Linked DNA regions of Schizosaccharomyces pombe. The main gene of each other region encodes a partner of the protein of the gene in region 2 in a complex. Each region holds a gene or a part of one and is shown on either strand. Other genes may lie near its edges. The genes, in order: tfb5, ptr8, tfb2 and tfb4.

Region 1 (3,164 bases), on a different chromosome or scaffold from region 2:
GTCTTCACCACTCAAGAGACTGCCTCTGCTCACTTGAAGGGTGGTGCCAAGCGTGTCATCATCTCTGCTCCTTCCAAGGACGCCCCCATGTACGTTGTCGGTGTCAACGAGGAGAAGTTCAACCCCTCTGAGAAGGTTATCTCCAACGCTTCTTGCACCACCAACTGTTTGGCTCCCCTTGCCAAGGTCATCAACGACACCTTCGGTATCGAGGAGGGTCTCATGACCACTGTCCACGCTACCACTGCCACCCAAAAGACCGTTGACGGTCCCTCCAAGAAGGACTGGCGTGGTGGTCGTGGCGCCAGCGCCAACATCATCCCCTCCTCCACTGGTGCCGCCAAGGCCGTCGGTAAGGTTATTCCCGCTCTTAACGGTAAGCTTACCGGTATGGCTTTCCGTGTCCCTACCCCCGATGTTTCCGTTGTTGACTTGACCGTCAAGTTGGCCAAGCCTACCAACTACGAGGACATCAAGGCCGCCATCAAGGCTGCCTCTGAGGGCCCCATGAAGGGTGTGTTGGGTTACACCGAGGACGCTGTTGTCTCCACTGACTTCTGCGGTGACAACCACTCCTCCATCTTCGATGCCTCTGCCGGTATCCAACTTTCTCCTCAATTCGTCAAGCTCGTCTCTTGGTACGATAACGAATGGGGTTACTCCCGCCGTGTCGTTGACTTGGTTGCCTACACTGCCGCCAAGGACAACTAACTAGCTAATCATCCCGATGCTAAGAAACGTCGGGTGGGTGCTTAAAGGCAATGCAGGAAAGTCTTTTGGAGTTGTTTTCCCCGTTTTTTCTTTATGTTAGACAAAGGAGTCGTTGTCGTTTGCAGTGCGGGAGTTTTCTTTTTTAGATTTTCGCATTTTTTTTGTGGACGCGCACTCTATGTGAATAAATAGATGGATGACTTTTTTACAAATTTCCTCTGTTCTTTGATACCCTCCTTCTCATTCATTGTTGCATATATTTTTTTTAATTTTGTTGCAGTGATGAGATGGCTGAGCGTTTGTTTTTGAACTTATAAATACTTATAAATAAATTTTATGATTTTGATAAATACTTTTTTTCGTTTTGGTTTGTGATACGTATAGTTTGCCTGTCTCCTTTTGTAAATGATCTTCTTTTGTAGTCTTGTGTAATCTCTTTTTCATTTGGTCAACTTAAGTGAATTTTTTTTTGTCAGTTTCCTTGTAGGATATTATGTCAAAGTCTTATTTATACTATATATTATTGCTTTGGTGGTGAGTCGCATTTGTGGGGACGGTGTTACTTTACTGATGGATTTAGGTAGGAGGCATCCACTGTCCCCCATTTCGCTAGCTTAAGTTTAATATGAAGATGCACTTAAGCATGAACGCCCGTTTTGATCTTTTTCACTTGTACCGCGAAGAGCTTGTTTTACTGTTTTTCCGTCTGCATCCCGAGAACTAGTTGATCTCCCAATGCACACTTTAGACTTTATTCAAACCGAAGTCGGTTTTGTAATTTAAAAATTTTTACCCACTGTAAAGTACAAACAATTCATCGCTATGTTAGTTGTGTACGCTACTAGCGCATCACATGATTACATGTTAATCAACAAAAACGAAAATGTTTATTGTCAATCTAAAAATACATATGTCCGTTAAGACAAAAGTATGAGGCTGGATGGAATGAGCAATGGTAGCAAAAGGTTTCCGAAATGGTCATATCATTTTTTCAATTTTTGCTGATCTCAAATACCTCAACTTGTTTTATTCATATAAATAATTTGTTTTTGCATATAATCATAATAATCAAATTCATTACCATCTTTAACACAACAAACTTGCATGATATTTATTCTTGTTTGCTCTTACATTCGGCATCCAACGATCATGGGTAACTTGATACCTGTGGCTTAAGGAGCTTGTAGCATGCCATGATTCTGCTGGCAGACACCAAATTTGAGGCAATGCCACGCGCACAAAAAGGCTTACTCTTGGTTGAATGTGACCCAACCGTTAAGCAATTGATTTTGAACATGGACGAACAGTCTCCTGGTATCGTTATCGAAGAGATCGATGAAGAACGATTGTTAGTAAATGAAAGTCGACTAGAACAGGTGAAAGCAGAGTTAGAACGACGCCTTGAGGAAAATACATATCAAGTTGAAGAGTAAGAAGAGATTAGTATGACGAAAGTTTTCTTTGGATGATGAACTGAATGTTTCAGTCGATGGACGAACCTAATATTGTACGATTAATGGATCATTCAATGTCAACGATCTATGATCATTTTCTCAATTTTAAATTGTAAAAAAATTTTAAAATAATGCAAAAAAGAAATTAATTCTACCTTTTATTTGGATATGGGTGAAAAGGTTGGTTTATTTTTTAATGACTTGACGTTTGTGTCAAATTACATAACAGTACCCAAAACTCGTGTACCGATGGGCAAAAATTATGAAAGGAGCCAGCTGATTTTGTATTTTTTGAAAATAAGTTTTGAATATATTGTTAACTACGCCGAGCTATTCAGTAGTTGCTTGCAAGTCTTTATTTAATTTTTAGTATTGAATGAAAGTTTATACTATTTGAATATACTATACTATCTATATAATTAATATGTATAATAAGAGAAATGTTCTTCTTTGTCTAACGATATTTTTATGCATTCCTAATTGAAACTTGGTGGTGTTTCTAGAAAGATAGTTCAGTTCATACGCGTGATAACTTTTTCAACACCGGGAACTGGAAGAACATACAACAAGGAAAAGGCATAGTTTCATGCTTGTCCTATAAACAAATGAACAAGGAAAAAGATCAATAAAGATCAATTTTGCATATTCTAAACCATAGTGCTGGGAGGTGTTTCGGTCGTGATACCTGTTCCACCAAGCGTGGAACTTGAAGTAAAAGCCTGACCTTTAATACCGGCAAAGGTGTAACATAAACCAGTAAGAGCGAGCACAATGCCGGTGGCAATAAGACTAGTAGCCATAAAGATGCAACTGAGAAAGGTTACCACGGAAAATATAAAATAGACAAGCTAAAAGAGTTAATAAACACTGTATGTAAAAGACAGCAGGAAGGCAACAAAGGAATTAAAAATATCCAGAGGCATGCTTTTTCCCCTGTGTGCCTTTCTTAAAAGAAACTATAACAACTTACACCACGGTAATAATTGCTAGCAAAAGCAT
Region 2 (5,244 bases):
CAATTAAATTTCGGCTTTTAAAAAATCGAGCATGCACCCTTTCTAAGACATAATCATGAGAGATACCATACCCCAAAGGACACCAGGTGTCTATATTCCAAGCATCCCAACCCCATTCAGGTTTCAATTCAGGTTTTTTGTGAGGACCCAAGACTAAAAGCCAGCGACATTGAACAGATAAGGCATAACAAGTAGAGAATAGTTTAGATGGTTCTGTAAGTAAATGAAGAGCAAAAGAACATATTACAAGGTCATATATGCCATCTTCAGCGCTACTTGGAGGTAGTTTTTCATCAGCAATATCCTGAAAGTTTAGCGTTAAGCATGGCTTACCAATGCGATTTGTGTAGGCTTCTAAAGTAAATGGGTCCGTAGCTATAAGCTCAAAAGGAGGTAATTCTGGTGGAATAGAACGTATAGAAATTTCTTTACGGACTTTAAAAGCTCCTCCATGTATACCCAGTTCCCTCCCTAAATGCTCCCATTCTATAACTGTTTCTGAAACTTCCCCACTTCCACATGCCAAATCTATAACATGCAATCCGTGACTTTTAAACTTTTCATCATGATCCCAAAAATGACTTAAGCACTGCAATAGCAAAAGTCGTAATCCCCGAAAATGCAAATTTCGATAAGTCCCTCCTACCTTTTTGTAATAAACATCTACGCCTTGCGCATAGTTATCTCTCATTGAGTAAGGAGCATTTCTGACTGAATGAGTAGGACGCCAACTCATTTTTAATTATGGGGTAAAGAAATAATGTATTCCAGATGTCAAATCTCTCACAGTGTTAATAAAGTAATAAATTATTTTGAATTAATTAACTGCAAATTCTAAATTTGGTATTCGTTTTTCTTTTTTTTTGTTTTTTCACGCGACGATGCAAAAAGCAAAAAAAAAATTTAAATATAATTTATCAAGATACCCAATTTGACAAGAAAATGGTGAGTTAACCGAGTTTATTCAATATGCATCACGAATTCGCACAAACGACTTGTTCTCGATATTCCACCGTCCTTACTACTTTAAGTTTTATAAGTAAAGTCGTAGAAATAGAAATGATATAAAATAAAAGGAGATATGTCAATGAAATGAACGAAAGATGAGATTTCTTATGTAGTAGGTATACTGAACTTAGTACAAACCGGATAAATTCAACTAACATGAAAATTTGACTAAAACAAATCTCGATTCACGACAGCATAAGCATACAAATCACAAATAAATAATTTTTTATTTAGTTTGTGCATTGTATGTATCTTTCGTTAGTTTTTTGGTTTCAGTTATGATTTATTGATACATCTTAACAATAAGGTTATTGTAAACACGTTTGTTGACGAAATGATTGTTTAACAGTGAAAATTTCAAATGAGTTTCGTATCATAAAGTAGATGTTCATTCGAATTAAAGAATCAAGTTTACGAATCCATTGCGCATGCTAATGTTAGCACTGGTATACACCTAACCTTTGCCTATAAGACCTTTCTTACTTAATAATGTCGCTTCGTCGAATACCGAATAAAAATCTAATACCTGAAATACCTCCCTTCCCAGAGGAGTCAATTAATCTATTACAGAATGGCGTAAATACAATTGTATGTTTGGGATGCCAATTTATATACTAATCAAGCTATTTTAGCCTCGAATAAATCTTGAAGATGTAGATGTTATGTCAACCAAATTACCCACAGATGAAGAATTAACAGAAAATTATCAAAACTGGAAAAAAAATCTTGAAGTAGAGCGTCTTGAAAAGCTTAAACGAATTGCACCAGGGTACTCTGCCTCTTCACCCTTATTACCTAGCAAAAGTGATTAATCCCAAGATAAAATTTAGATTTATTATATTTTTCGATTAAAATGATAGTATTTTGGTGGTACTAACAATCGCTTCATCTTACTAGTGATTTGCCATTAACACACACACACCCACAGGAGAACCTCCTTTTCTTTTGTGCTTATAAATTTAAAAGTGACAGCTGAAAAGTTACGAAACTTAATAATCAGTTGAGAGTTGTTGCTTTAAATTTCTTTTGATTGGCCTCGCATCTTGGTTTGTCGTTTACTGCTGCAAATTATTATTGCCATACGGCAACTCATTTTCAAAGAGTTTGAGTCATTAGCTATTTATAAACATTTCATATTAAATAATGAGCCTAAAGAGAAAAAATAATGCAAGGGAAGGGACACCTGACGAGGATTTAGAAGAATATAGCGATTACAGCGATGTTGACAATTACGGTGAAGAGGATGATGATTCTTACAAGCCTGCACCCAGGATTCGTATAAACAACAATAAAACTAAAGCACAAACCACGACTAATAGCAATGAAGCCCGCCAATCTGGGATTTCTGCTATGTTTGGCCAAAACGATTTTTCTAATTTACTAGGTTTAAAATTGGATCATACGGCTAGGCCACTTTGGATTAATCCAATTGATGGTAGAATTATCCTTGAAGCATTCAGCCCATTGGCTGAGCAAGCTATCGACTTCTTGGTAACAATTTCAGAGCCAGTTTCTCGACCCGCTTTCATTCATGAGTATAGAATTACTGCATATTCACTTTATGCTGCTGTTAGCGTTGGGTTAAAAACTGAAGATATAATAGCAGTCCTTGATAGACTTTCAAAAACCCCAATTCCTCCTTCTATCGTAGACTTTATCCGCGCTTGTACTGTCTCTTACGGTAAGGTCAAACTGGTCTTGAAGAAAAACAGATATTTTATTGAAAGTGGAGATGCAAGTGTTTTACGACTGTTATTAAGAGATCCTGTCATAGGCCCTCTTCGAATCGATTATTCTACCCAGTCTAGCAAGCAGAAGTCTTCAAAGCCTTCCAATGAAGATAATGTGGAAGACAAAAAAGATATCACCAATGATTCCTCAAAAGAAACTGCTGAGAAAAGTTCATCTGATGAACTGTTTTCGGCAGTAGTAGGCTTACAGGAAGAGGAAGATGATGAAGATGCCGTTCATCTTTTCGAAATTAAGCACTCTTCAGTGGAAACTATCAAGAAGAGATGTGCAGAGATTGATTATCCCTTATTGGAAGAGTACGATTTTCGTAATGACAACATCAATCCAGATCTTCCTATAGACCTTAAGCCAAGCACTCAAATTCGTCCATACCAAGAAAAGAGTCTTAGTAAAATGTTTGGAAATGGTAGAGCTCGAAGTGGAATTATTGTATTACCATGTGGAGCTGGTAAAACCTTGGTTGGTATCACAGCGGCTTGTACTATCAAAAAATCAGTAATCGTGCTTTGCACCAGTTCTGTTTCGGTAATGCAATGGCGTCAACAATTTTTACAGTGGAGCAACATCAAGCCTGATCACATTGCGGTTTTTACTGCTGATCACAAAGAACGGTTTCACAGCGAAGCAGGTGTGGTTGTCTCCACGTACTCAATGGTTGCCAATACCAGGAATAGATCCTATGATTCTCAAAAAATGATGGATTTTCTTACGGGACGTGAATGGGGGTTTATCCTATTAGACGAAGTACATGTGGTTCCTGCTGCCATGTTTCGGCGAGTTGTCACCACAATTGCCGCTCACACAAAGCTTGGGTTAACTGCTACGTTAGTTCGTGAGGATGATAAAATTGATGATTTAAATTTTTTGATTGGGCCTAAAATGTACGAAGCAAATTGGATGGATTTGGCACAAAAAGGTCACATCGCTAAGGTTCAATGCGCCGAAGTTTGGTGCGCGATGACCACTGAGTTTTATAATGAATATCTTCGAGAAAACTCCCGAAAAAGAATGCTACTTTATATCATGAATCCTAAAAAATTTCAGGCTTGTCAATTCCTCATCGATTATCACGAAAAACGTGGTGATAAAATTATCGTTTTTTCAGACAATGTCTATGCTTTGCGTGCTTATGCAATAAAATTAGGCAAATATTTTATTTATGGTGGAACTCCACAGCAGGAAAGAATGAGGATTTTGGAAAATTTCCAGTATAATGAACTTGTAAATACCATTTTCCTTTCTAAAGTTGGTGATACGTCTATTGATCTTCCTGAAGCAACCTGTTTGATTCAGATTTCTTCTCATTATGGTTCTAGGCGTCAAGAAGCTCAACGTTTGGGGCGTATTCTTCGTGCCAAGCGACGAAATGATGAAGGCTTTAACGCATTTTTCTATAGCTTGGTATCTAAAGACACTCAGGAAATGTATTATTCCAGTAAACGGCAAGCATTTTTAATTGACCAAGGCTATGCTTTTAAAGTCATCACTAATTTAAAGGGTATGGAGAACTTGCCAAATTTGGCTTACGCCTCCAAAGCGGAGAGACTTGAGCTTTTGCAGGAAGTATTGCTACAAAATGAAGAAGCAGCTGATTTGGATGACGGTGAGGATACTAGCTTTGGATCCAGAAGTCTCTCTAGAGCACCGGCGAAAGCTAAACGTTCTAGTGGTTCTTTAAGTACATTGGCTGGTGCCGACAATATGGCATACGTGGAATATAACAAGAGTGCTAATAAACAGCTGAAAAAGGACAGTAAAGAACATCATGCCTTATTTCGGAAGCACCTGTATACTAAACGTCGCTAGCGAAGTTATACATGCTAGCATACACACGATATAGACATGAATTTTGTTGATTTTTCTACGCTAAAATTTTTGATAATAATGCTTTCGTTAAGTTTTAATATGAAATTATGATTTCCCTAATTCCCTTGTAAATTCTAATTTGTGATTGGCAATATTGCCAAATCATCATCATTTTCTTTATCTTCTTCATCGTTGCTTCCGCTGCTAAGCGATTGTCGTTCATTGTTAGACGACCACTCAGTTGACAGACGGCGAATTAAACCCTTCAAATCGCATCTCATCGTGTTAATCTTTTGAAGGTTCCACTGTTGGTCGAAGTTTTTAGCATCCGTCCGTCTAAGAGATTTATCTAAAGTATTGGCTATCACTTGCTCAGGAGTTTCAAGAAATAGTTCGACGAAATGTAACGCATATATACCACAATCAGAAAAATTGCTTTGTTGCGGGACTTTTGCATGAAACCCCCGTATATCAGTGGACTTAAGATGTACATTTTTCCTTTCGAAAGCTTCTTCCAGTAAATATTCACGTAAGTAATTTAATGCTCCTTTATGAAGATTTGCTAAAGAATCAAAAATCAAAATTGCTGGACTATAATTAACTTAGTAAACTGAATCAAATGATTTATGATATATTTTTCCTTTTAATCAATAAAATTGTAAACCTTTAACATACCTA
Region 3 (4,274 bases), on a different chromosome or scaffold from region 2:
GAAGTTGGAAAAATATTAAGCAAACTAAGTTAAACTTCCTCATGTGTTATCAATCCATTTTTATGCTGACAGATCGTCTTCTACAAAAAAACTGGCAACAATAAACTGGGAGGTTATTGAATTTTTAAACATCGAGCCACTAATTATTTATCTTTTGAAAGTCTTATTTTTTATAATCTGCTAATTATATTCTTTTGTTTATGGTGTTTACGCTATCATAAACTAAGATACTGTCAATTTTAGACCCCACTATCTTCCTTAGTGAAGTTGTTTAATTTTGTTAAAATGCATTACGAGTAATGTATTAAGAAGTTCTAAAAATCATCAGCCTTACTAGCAGACGCTCAATCAATAGAATTAGCATTATACAGCTAGCTTACCTTTACAAACAAAATGAGCAATTTAGAGGGTAAGTAAGTAATTTTTTTGATAATTGATTAACCTGAAAGCATCTCTGTTTCAATTAAAGGTATTTTCTTAATTGAAGTTTGTTTTTAACAATGCGTTAGTTTGCTGCAAAGTCGCTGAATAAACAATCACTTAAAGCTGCGAAAGAGGAGCGTGCTGAACGGGAAAAAGTGAAAAAGGTTTGTTTGTTGTAATGATTGCTATTTCCAAGCATGTCACTATCAATGAATTTTTTTACAGCTCATCTATCAATTGCTATTGTAATTCTTGGTGGTTTTGCAGAGTCTTGGTTTTGTCGATTATTCCATCTTCATATGATTTGCTAGATAAAAATTTTTTTTTACTTTTTGGCGTTATTCATTACTAACTGTTATTACCTAGGCTATCACAAAAGGCAACTCAGAAATTGCCCGCATATATGCATCGAATGCAATTCGGAAGCAGCAAGAATCCCTTAATTTGCTCAAACTTTCTTCAAGAATAGATGCGGTTTCAAGTCGTTTACAGACTGCTGTAACTATGCGTGCTGTATGTTAGCAATTTAACGTGGCATACTTATTGACTATTTAGGTGTCGGGAAATATGGCAGGTGTCGTTCGGGGAATGGACAGAGCTATGAAAACAATGAATTTGGAGATGGTGAGTTCCTAATTCTCGTAGAATGAGTTTTTTTTCAAATGTTTCTGACCCACAGATTTCACAAGTCATGGATAAATTTGAAGCGCAATTCGATGATGTTAATGTTCAAACGGGTTATATGAATAAGGTAAGTTTCCTTGATTAATCATATTTCAAGACTAGAACTAACACTATATAAGGCTATGGGATCAGTGACTGCTGTCGATACACCCCAAGAAGATGTAGATTTATTAATGCAAACGGTAGCTGATGAAGCTGGTTTGGAATTTAACCAGAATATGAACAATAATCTTTCGGTTCCTGCTGCCAGTGTTCCTACTCCCGCCGCTCCTGTAGAAGATGACAACTTACAAGAACGTTTACGTGCTTTAAGGTCTTGATGTATAATTCCAGTCCAAATAACAAAATTTTTTTGCTGCATAAATGAAAGAGTTTAATTACGCACAATTTATTCAGCTGATACGGAAGAAGTTAATTAGATGATTAAGGATTTATATGTTTTTCACTGATATTTGAAAAACAAATTATTTTTCTCTCGAGGGTCATTTATCCCGCGGTTTATTTCAACCAAGCATGCATCTCTAATGGTCTAAATAAGTAATAGTACAGTAAATATTTAACGTAACTGTAAATATTCAGAACATTTAAAACAAATCTTTTTTTTTTTAAAACTGACTTTATTTAAAACTTAAGTATGAATGATTGTTTATATGTTTTTATCTAATCACGACAATTCGCAACTTGGGCATAAAAGTTTGAATTGTAATAAATATGTACACAGGTTAATGTAATTATCAGCAAAAAAAAATTGTTATTGTCATTGTCGGAAGCTTTGGCTTGTTATTCTAGCCTATTTAATACCAGTAATTCGACTCGCTCTTGATCACCATCCACCTTCGGTCTCGCGATGATTGCTTATCTGGCATTTATGGAAGATTGATAATCGTAAATAAGTTTATTAGTTGAGTACACTGGATTTTGTTCTATTCAGCTGAATAAAGAGAGATTACAACCGCCAATTTAAACCTTTTGAAGTAGGTTCGCAAATTGTCACCATGCAAGCAGAATTCAAGTCTAGTATCAACGACTTCCTGGAACAGTTACCAAATCATGCAAGGCTTTACCAAAAGCCAGCTGCTTGTCTTGCTGTGTTTCGTTTATTGCCAATTCTAGCTAGACAGTATGTCATGTCTATGCTTTTCAATCCTATGCCAGTAGCACTCTCAGATTTCGATTTATGGATCAAACTTTCGAGTAAAGTTTATCAATCTGAATCCTTCAACAAACTGGTTAGGATGCATATATTTCAATTTGATGGACAATATATCACTCTAAATAGTGAATTTCGCAAACAATTTATAACTGCTCTGACTGGAGGGTAAGTTTTATTGAATTTTGAGTATAAACTAATTAAGCTTTTTAGAGGAAATCACAATTCGTTTGGCGTGCCATGTACCGATGAAGACAAGCACTTGGTGACGGTTGATTTTCTTGACGCATATGCGAAAGAAACTTGGGAAACAATCTTGCACTTCATGGTAGGAACTCCGGAAGCTAAATTTCCTGGAGAAGGTGTCTTAAGTCTATTAAAGCGGGGCGGTTTAATGTCTGGTCCAAAAAACCAGCTACGTATTACCCGTGCCGGTTTTCAGTTTCTGTTACAGGATATAAATGCTCAAATTTGGACGTTACTTTTGGATTATTTAAAACTATCTGAAGACACGCATATGGATCCTGTTCAGGTTTTGCACTTTTTATTTATGCTTGGAAGTTTGGATTTGGGGAGGGCATACTCAGTGGACTTCTTAACAGATACACAACAAATCATGCTTGAAGACCTAAGAGAATATGGATTAGTTTATCAAAGAAAAATTACTTCCAAGCGTTTCTATCCAACCAGACTGGCAACAGGTCTGACAACTGATTATCGCTCATTGCATGGAAAGCAAAGTGAAAATGATGATGATAAAGGTTTTATTATTGTAGAAACAAATTACCGATTATATGCTTACACAAGCTCCCCATTACAGATTGCCATCATCGGATTGTTTGCTAACTTAAGGGCGCGTTTTTCAAATCTTGTTGTCGGTGTGATAACTCGGGATAGTATTCGTCGTGCTTTGATGAATGGAATTGCAGCGGAGCAAATTATTACATACTTGACAACTCATGCTCACCCTCAGATGAGATCGAATGTTCCTCTTTTACCTCCTACATTAGTAGATCAAATTTATTTATGGGAATTGGAAAAAAATAGACTTCGGGCTACTCCTGGAATTTTGTTTCGCGATTTTCTTACTGATTCTGGCTTCGACCAAGCAGTAGAGTACGCAAAAGAACTCGGGGTTTTGGTTTGGGACAGTTCCTTGAAAAGAATGTTTTTCATAACTACGACAGGCGCCCAGCCCATGATCGCATACTTGAAAAGACGAGCTGTCAAATGAATATTTTTTGGATGGTTCAAAAGAGAAGTGGTAATTAGAAAATATTAAATTAATCTCAAATCACTTGTAAGTAATTTACTGGTGTCAATAAACATATATATAACATAAGCTCAACATTAGCCATGTTAACTATACGCGTGTTGGATATTTATACGAAATTCAAGTTTTAATGATGCAACTCTTTAACGTTCAAATTATGAATTTCTTCTTCTCGTCATTAGAAAAAAAAAATATCCGTTATTTGAATAATCCAAACAATATTCATATTCTTGTATTTAATGTTCATTTAATTATATTACCATTTGTAATAATGATTTGGTGATATTACTATAGGCAGGCAAATGGCTTGTAAATCCTTACTAACTACAAGTATCGCTGCTGCGAGTAGCCAAGAACTGCCACAACATAACCAATTCACCTGAGGTACTTACTTTTACAGTGATTGATACCTGTTAAACGAAGTTTTAAGACACAATGGCAATTAATAGCTCTGGTACTAAGGTGCTTTCTTTCGTTCGTTCTGTTTGGCAGGATTTTGTAAATACCAATGGGTTTGATGCTCATGTAGTCAGTGATATACAAATTATAAGTGCAGTTCCAGGATTTGTAGAATGCTCTCTGAAACTGCAGAAGCATCACCTAAATCGTATGGGTAATTTGCATGGCGGTTGTATTGCAGCACTCACTGATTTGGGAGGAAGTTTAGCATTGGCCAGTCGAGGGCTTTTTATTTCTGGCGTGTCAATAGATATGAATCAAACTTTTTTACAAAGTGGTGGTACT
Region 4 (3,573 bases), on a different chromosome or scaffold from region 2:
GCTGAAATAAAACGCTATATAGTCGGGAAAGAGCTGTTAAAAAGCACAGTCAATCAAAAATTCTAAAATTAGTGGAAAATAGACATTCAGGATGTCAGAAGTTTGTAATTGAATCTATCAACAGATTAGGCAATGGTTGTAATGCTCCTAAGGTTAATCAGACTAATTTACGTCTGAAATCTGAAGATTTAGAACAAATATATTACAACCTTTTTATTATTTTTCCTTTTTTAAAAACTATGAATATCTGATTGCAGAATAAACGAATTTAAGAAAATACTTTTTTTTTTTCAAGCTTGTCGTCACTTGTGAGTTTGAGAATATTCGGGCAAATAAAAGTAAACCGGCTCTATTAGTATGAATTATCAATCCGCGCTTTTATTGCTCAGTACAGAAATTCAGAGGTTGAGTTACATGTAAAAACCAAGATTCGTAACCTTACTACAATAATCAAACCAATTCATTATAAATTGCATTCATATAGATCTCAATGTAATATAACTTTTCTGATTAAAAAAGCTTAAAAAAAGCCATTGTTAAAATGATCAAGCACCAACATTAGAGATGCAATAGATTATAAACAGTAGAAAGGAAAGTTCCTGTGAAATAATTTCTGTCAGCATCTTCAACATTAATGATTCGTTAGTAAATTAATTAAAGAATAGTATATAATTTCGTCTTACTGCACTGTTTGGAAAAGAAAGAAGCCAATGCAACTTGAAGAAATAATAGAAGAAGCTCTAAGGAAATAAATAATAATAGGGTACGTTGGAATGAATTAGTTGCTTATACGTTAAGTTTCTACTTGTGGATGCCCCTTAAGGAAATAGTTTGATCCTTCCGAAAAATGTTAACATTTCAAGTGTATCAAAATGCCAGAAAGTAAAAATCGCCAAAAAAAAAGAGCTAGACTGTACAAATCACCAGGATAAGGAGATTTAGGTAATGAAAAACAGGGTTTCAAATATGATAAAGCTGTACACCCGGTGTGAGACAAAGAAATATATAGTTTAATAATAATATAACGAATTATCAAGTGTGCAATTTTTTTGACATAGGTTCTACCGTGAATTTGGTATGACAAGTAGAACAATGCACCCGTGGTTCACAAAATACTAAAGAGGTTAGCAAAAGGTCAAATGTTCAAAGCCTATCGTAAAGCTTTGTTACTACTTACTTGATAGACAAACTGAGCAAACAAAGCCAATATCCAAAACCTTTTTGTGGCAAAAACATGTAGCTCGAAAATCAACATTCGCTTGGTTTGGGGTATTTAAGTGTTTTCGAAGATTTTGATCCGGAAAAAGCGACATCATGAGATATTGTAGTAAGCCTTTGGGGTTGTCAACTTTTAAGTAAATCCCTCCTGTGGCATCTGCTGCTTGTTCTAAAAACAGGGTGCCTCCCTCAATGTTGCAAACGTTAATTGGAATATTTTTCTTTTGAGCACAAAATATACAATTCATAGTAGGAATATACTGAAGAGCAACATCACCAGTTAATGAGAAAATTAGAATTCGAGAACGAAGAGTATTTTTATTTTGAACTTGATTGATATATGCAAGGGCTCTAGATAGTGCTCCGGAAATCATCGTTTTTCTTGAAACTTTATCAGTCGAACTCATGAGTCGCTTCATCCCAGATAAAACTAAGTCGTCTACCTCACGAAACTTTCGATACGTATTTGCCTCCTTGGTAGGATCTACTTCTGCGACTTTTTGCTCAGGTGCAATCGAAGGGTATAGGTATTCAACCTTGTCCGAGTGTGAAGCTAACACAGCAACTCTATTATCATGATGAAAAGCTAAGTGTGCGTTTAGAAAAACCGTAATATCTGCCAGTACCTTGGAAACAGGCACTTTTTTGGAAAGGGAGTACCATGAGGCAGGATTTGCGTCTAATATAACTACAAGCAAACTGGGTGTATCATTTGCGTCTTCAGATATATCCCACGAGGCATTTTGTTTCAAAGTTTGAAATTCATCCATCCCTCTTTTTATAATGTGTTTTTTCTCAATGCTTTCCCAACTTTAATACAGGTAGACAACAACCCAGAAAAAGTGTAGGGTTCAAAAAAAGATTGCCAACAAAACAGTGTTATTTCAAAAACATTTATATTCCATTATAATGAAATGGTTTATCTAATGAAATAAAAGGTAAAGTAATTCCAAAAATATAAAAAATTTATGGAGTCGCCAGTGCAGATTTTAGTTTGGCCTTTTCCATGTGACGAGATGAACCAAAAAACACCGTCTACGGTAGAAGAAATTCGTATAGCACTACAAGAACTTGGGTTGAGTACGAATGGAAACAAGTATGTTACTGAAATTGAGAAGCAATTAGTCCGTTTTCTCAGAGTTTATATAAATTAATTATTTACACAGTATAAAGAGAAAAACTGAAACGGCGATGGAAATTTCGTGAAAAACGTCTTGAAGAAAAACGAAAACAAGAACGTTATCAAAAGTTTTCTACTAGTAATGAAAACAAAACTTGTTTGTAGGGTTAAATCATCAATTGTTTAAACATTTTCTATCTAACAGTAACTGAATACTTGTAGACGATACTTGCTAATTGTGGACGTCGAAGCTACATGTGAAGAAGGTTGCGGATTTAGCTTCGAAAACGAGATCATAGAATTACCATGTCTTCTATTCGATTTAATAGAAAAATCCATAATCGACGAATTTCATTCTTACGTTCGCCCATCCATGAATCCTACTTTGTCTGACTATTGTAAATCACTGACAGGAATTCAACAATGCACTGTTGATAAAGCGCCTATCTTCTCAGATGTCTTGGAAGAACTATTCATATTCTTGCGGAAACATTCCAATATTTTAGTTCCCTCAGTTGATGAAATTGAGATTATAGAACCCTTAAAGTCCGTACCCAGAACACAGCCCAAAAATTGGGCCTGGGCTTGTGATGGTCCTTGGGATATGGCGTCCTTTTTAGCCAAACAAGTAAGTGTTAATATAATTTTGTTCGGTTTGTCTCACATTTCGCTAACAAATCGTATTATCAGTTCAAATATGATAAAATGCCAATTCCTGACTGGATCAAAGGACCATTCGTAGATATTAGGTCTTTCTATAAAGACGTTTATCGCGTTCCACGCACAAATATTAATGGAATGCTAGAGCATTGGGGTCTTCAGTTTGAGGGAAGCGAGCATCGCGGAATAGATGATGCGAGGAATTTATCACGAATTGTTAAAAAAATGTGTTCGGAAAACGTAGAATTCGAATGCAATAGGTGGTGGATGGAATATGAGAAGAACGGCTGGATTCCGAATCGAAGTTACCCGCCATATTTCGCAAGCTAATGCTTAAAATTTTTATTTCGACTTCATAATCAATATATTTCGTGGAATCTGGTAGAGATAAATTATCGTTAAAATTCATAGATAAAAAAAATTTCCGAAAATTACGTCAAAAGAATGTTTAATCTTCATTAGATGACTCCTCTTGAGGTGCATGGGACCTCGCATGTCCTTCTTTTGCAGAGGTTGGCCATAGGTTGGGAATTGCGATCCTGTGGGAATTAGTTAGTATGAATCAATTCATACTC

What was found.
Region 1: ptr8 (region 2) and tfb5 share a complex: the UniProt entries of both Schizosaccharomyces pombe proteins name them as parts of the 7-subunit TFIIH core complex.
Region 3: ptr8 (region 2) and tfb2 share a complex: the UniProt entries of both Schizosaccharomyces pombe proteins name them as parts of the 7-subunit TFIIH core complex.
Region 4: ptr8 (region 2) and tfb4 share a complex: the UniProt entries of both Schizosaccharomyces pombe proteins name them as parts of the 7-subunit TFIIH core complex.

The regions. Positions count from the first base shown.
Region 1 is NC_003423.3:2,807,937-2,811,100, forward strand, and holds tfb5 (transcription factor TFIIH complex subunit Tfb5), read left to right. Parts: upstream 1-1,937; coding exon 1,938-2,144; 3' UTR 2,145-2,603; downstream 2,604-3,164. Other genes in the region: glyceraldehyde-3-phosphate dehydrogenase Tdh1, read left to right, coding at 1-711; SPOM_SPBC32F12.12C (golgi membrane protein involved in vesicle-mediated transport), read right to left, coding at 2,813-3,013, 3,136-3,164. UniProt on the Schizosaccharomyces pombe protein: Component of the general transcription and DNA repair factor IIH (TFIIH) core complex, which is involved in general and transcription-coupled nucleotide excision repair (NER) of damaged DNA and, when complexed to TFIIK, in RNA transcription by RNA polymerase II.
Region 2 is NC_003424.3:1,759,636-1,764,879, forward strand, and holds ptr8 (transcription factor TFIIH complex ERCC-3 subunit Ptr8), read left to right. Parts: upstream 1-1,911; 5' UTR 1,912-2,151; coding exon 2,152-4,566; 3' UTR 4,567-4,684; downstream 4,685-5,244. Other genes in the region: SPOM_SPAC17A5.05C (uncharacterized protein), read right to left, coding at 1-736; SPOM_SPAC17A5.19 (uncharacterized protein), read left to right, coding at 1,498-1,596, 1,641-1,820; SUMO deconjugating cysteine peptidase Ulp2, read right to left, coding at 4,701-5,157, 5,242-5,244. UniProt on the Schizosaccharomyces pombe protein: Probable ATP-dependent 3'-5' DNA helicase/translocase. Binds dsDNA rather than ssDNA, unzipping it in a translocase rather than classical helicase activity. Component of the general transcription and DNA repair factor IIH (TFIIH) core complex.
Region 3 is NC_003423.3:3,751,968-3,756,241, forward strand, and holds tfb2 (transcription factor TFIIH complex subunit Tfb2), read left to right. Parts: upstream 1-1,932; 5' UTR 1,933-2,102; coding exon 2,103-2,425; intron 2,426-2,470; coding exon 2,471-3,491; 3' UTR 3,492-3,750; downstream 3,751-4,274. Other genes in the region: ESCRT III complex subunit Did2, read left to right, coding at 394-409, 450-469, 510-587, 790-936, 979-1,047, 1,103-1,174, 1,227-1,427; the13 (acyl-CoA thioesterase), read left to right, coding at 3,966-4,274. UniProt on the Schizosaccharomyces pombe protein: Component of the general transcription and DNA repair factor IIH (TFIIH) core complex, which is involved in general and transcription-coupled nucleotide excision repair (NER) of damaged DNA and, when complexed to TFIIK, in RNA transcription by RNA polymerase II.
Region 4 is NC_003423.3:1,318,506-1,322,078, forward strand, and holds tfb4 (transcription factor TFIIH complex subunit Tfb4), read right to left. Parts: upstream 2,072-3,573; 5' UTR 1,989-2,071; coding exon 1,178-1,988; intron 1,116-1,177; coding exon 1,033-1,115; 3' UTR 565-1,032; downstream 1-564. Other genes in the region: double-strand siRNA ribonuclease Eri1, read left to right, coding at 2,235-2,314, 2,392-2,499, 2,561-2,966, 3,029-3,328; ERMES complex subunit Mmm1, read right to left, coding at 3,447-3,537. UniProt on the Schizosaccharomyces pombe protein: Component of the general transcription and DNA repair factor IIH (TFIIH) core complex, which is involved in general and transcription-coupled nucleotide excision repair (NER) of damaged DNA and, when complexed to TFIIK, in RNA transcription by RNA polymerase II.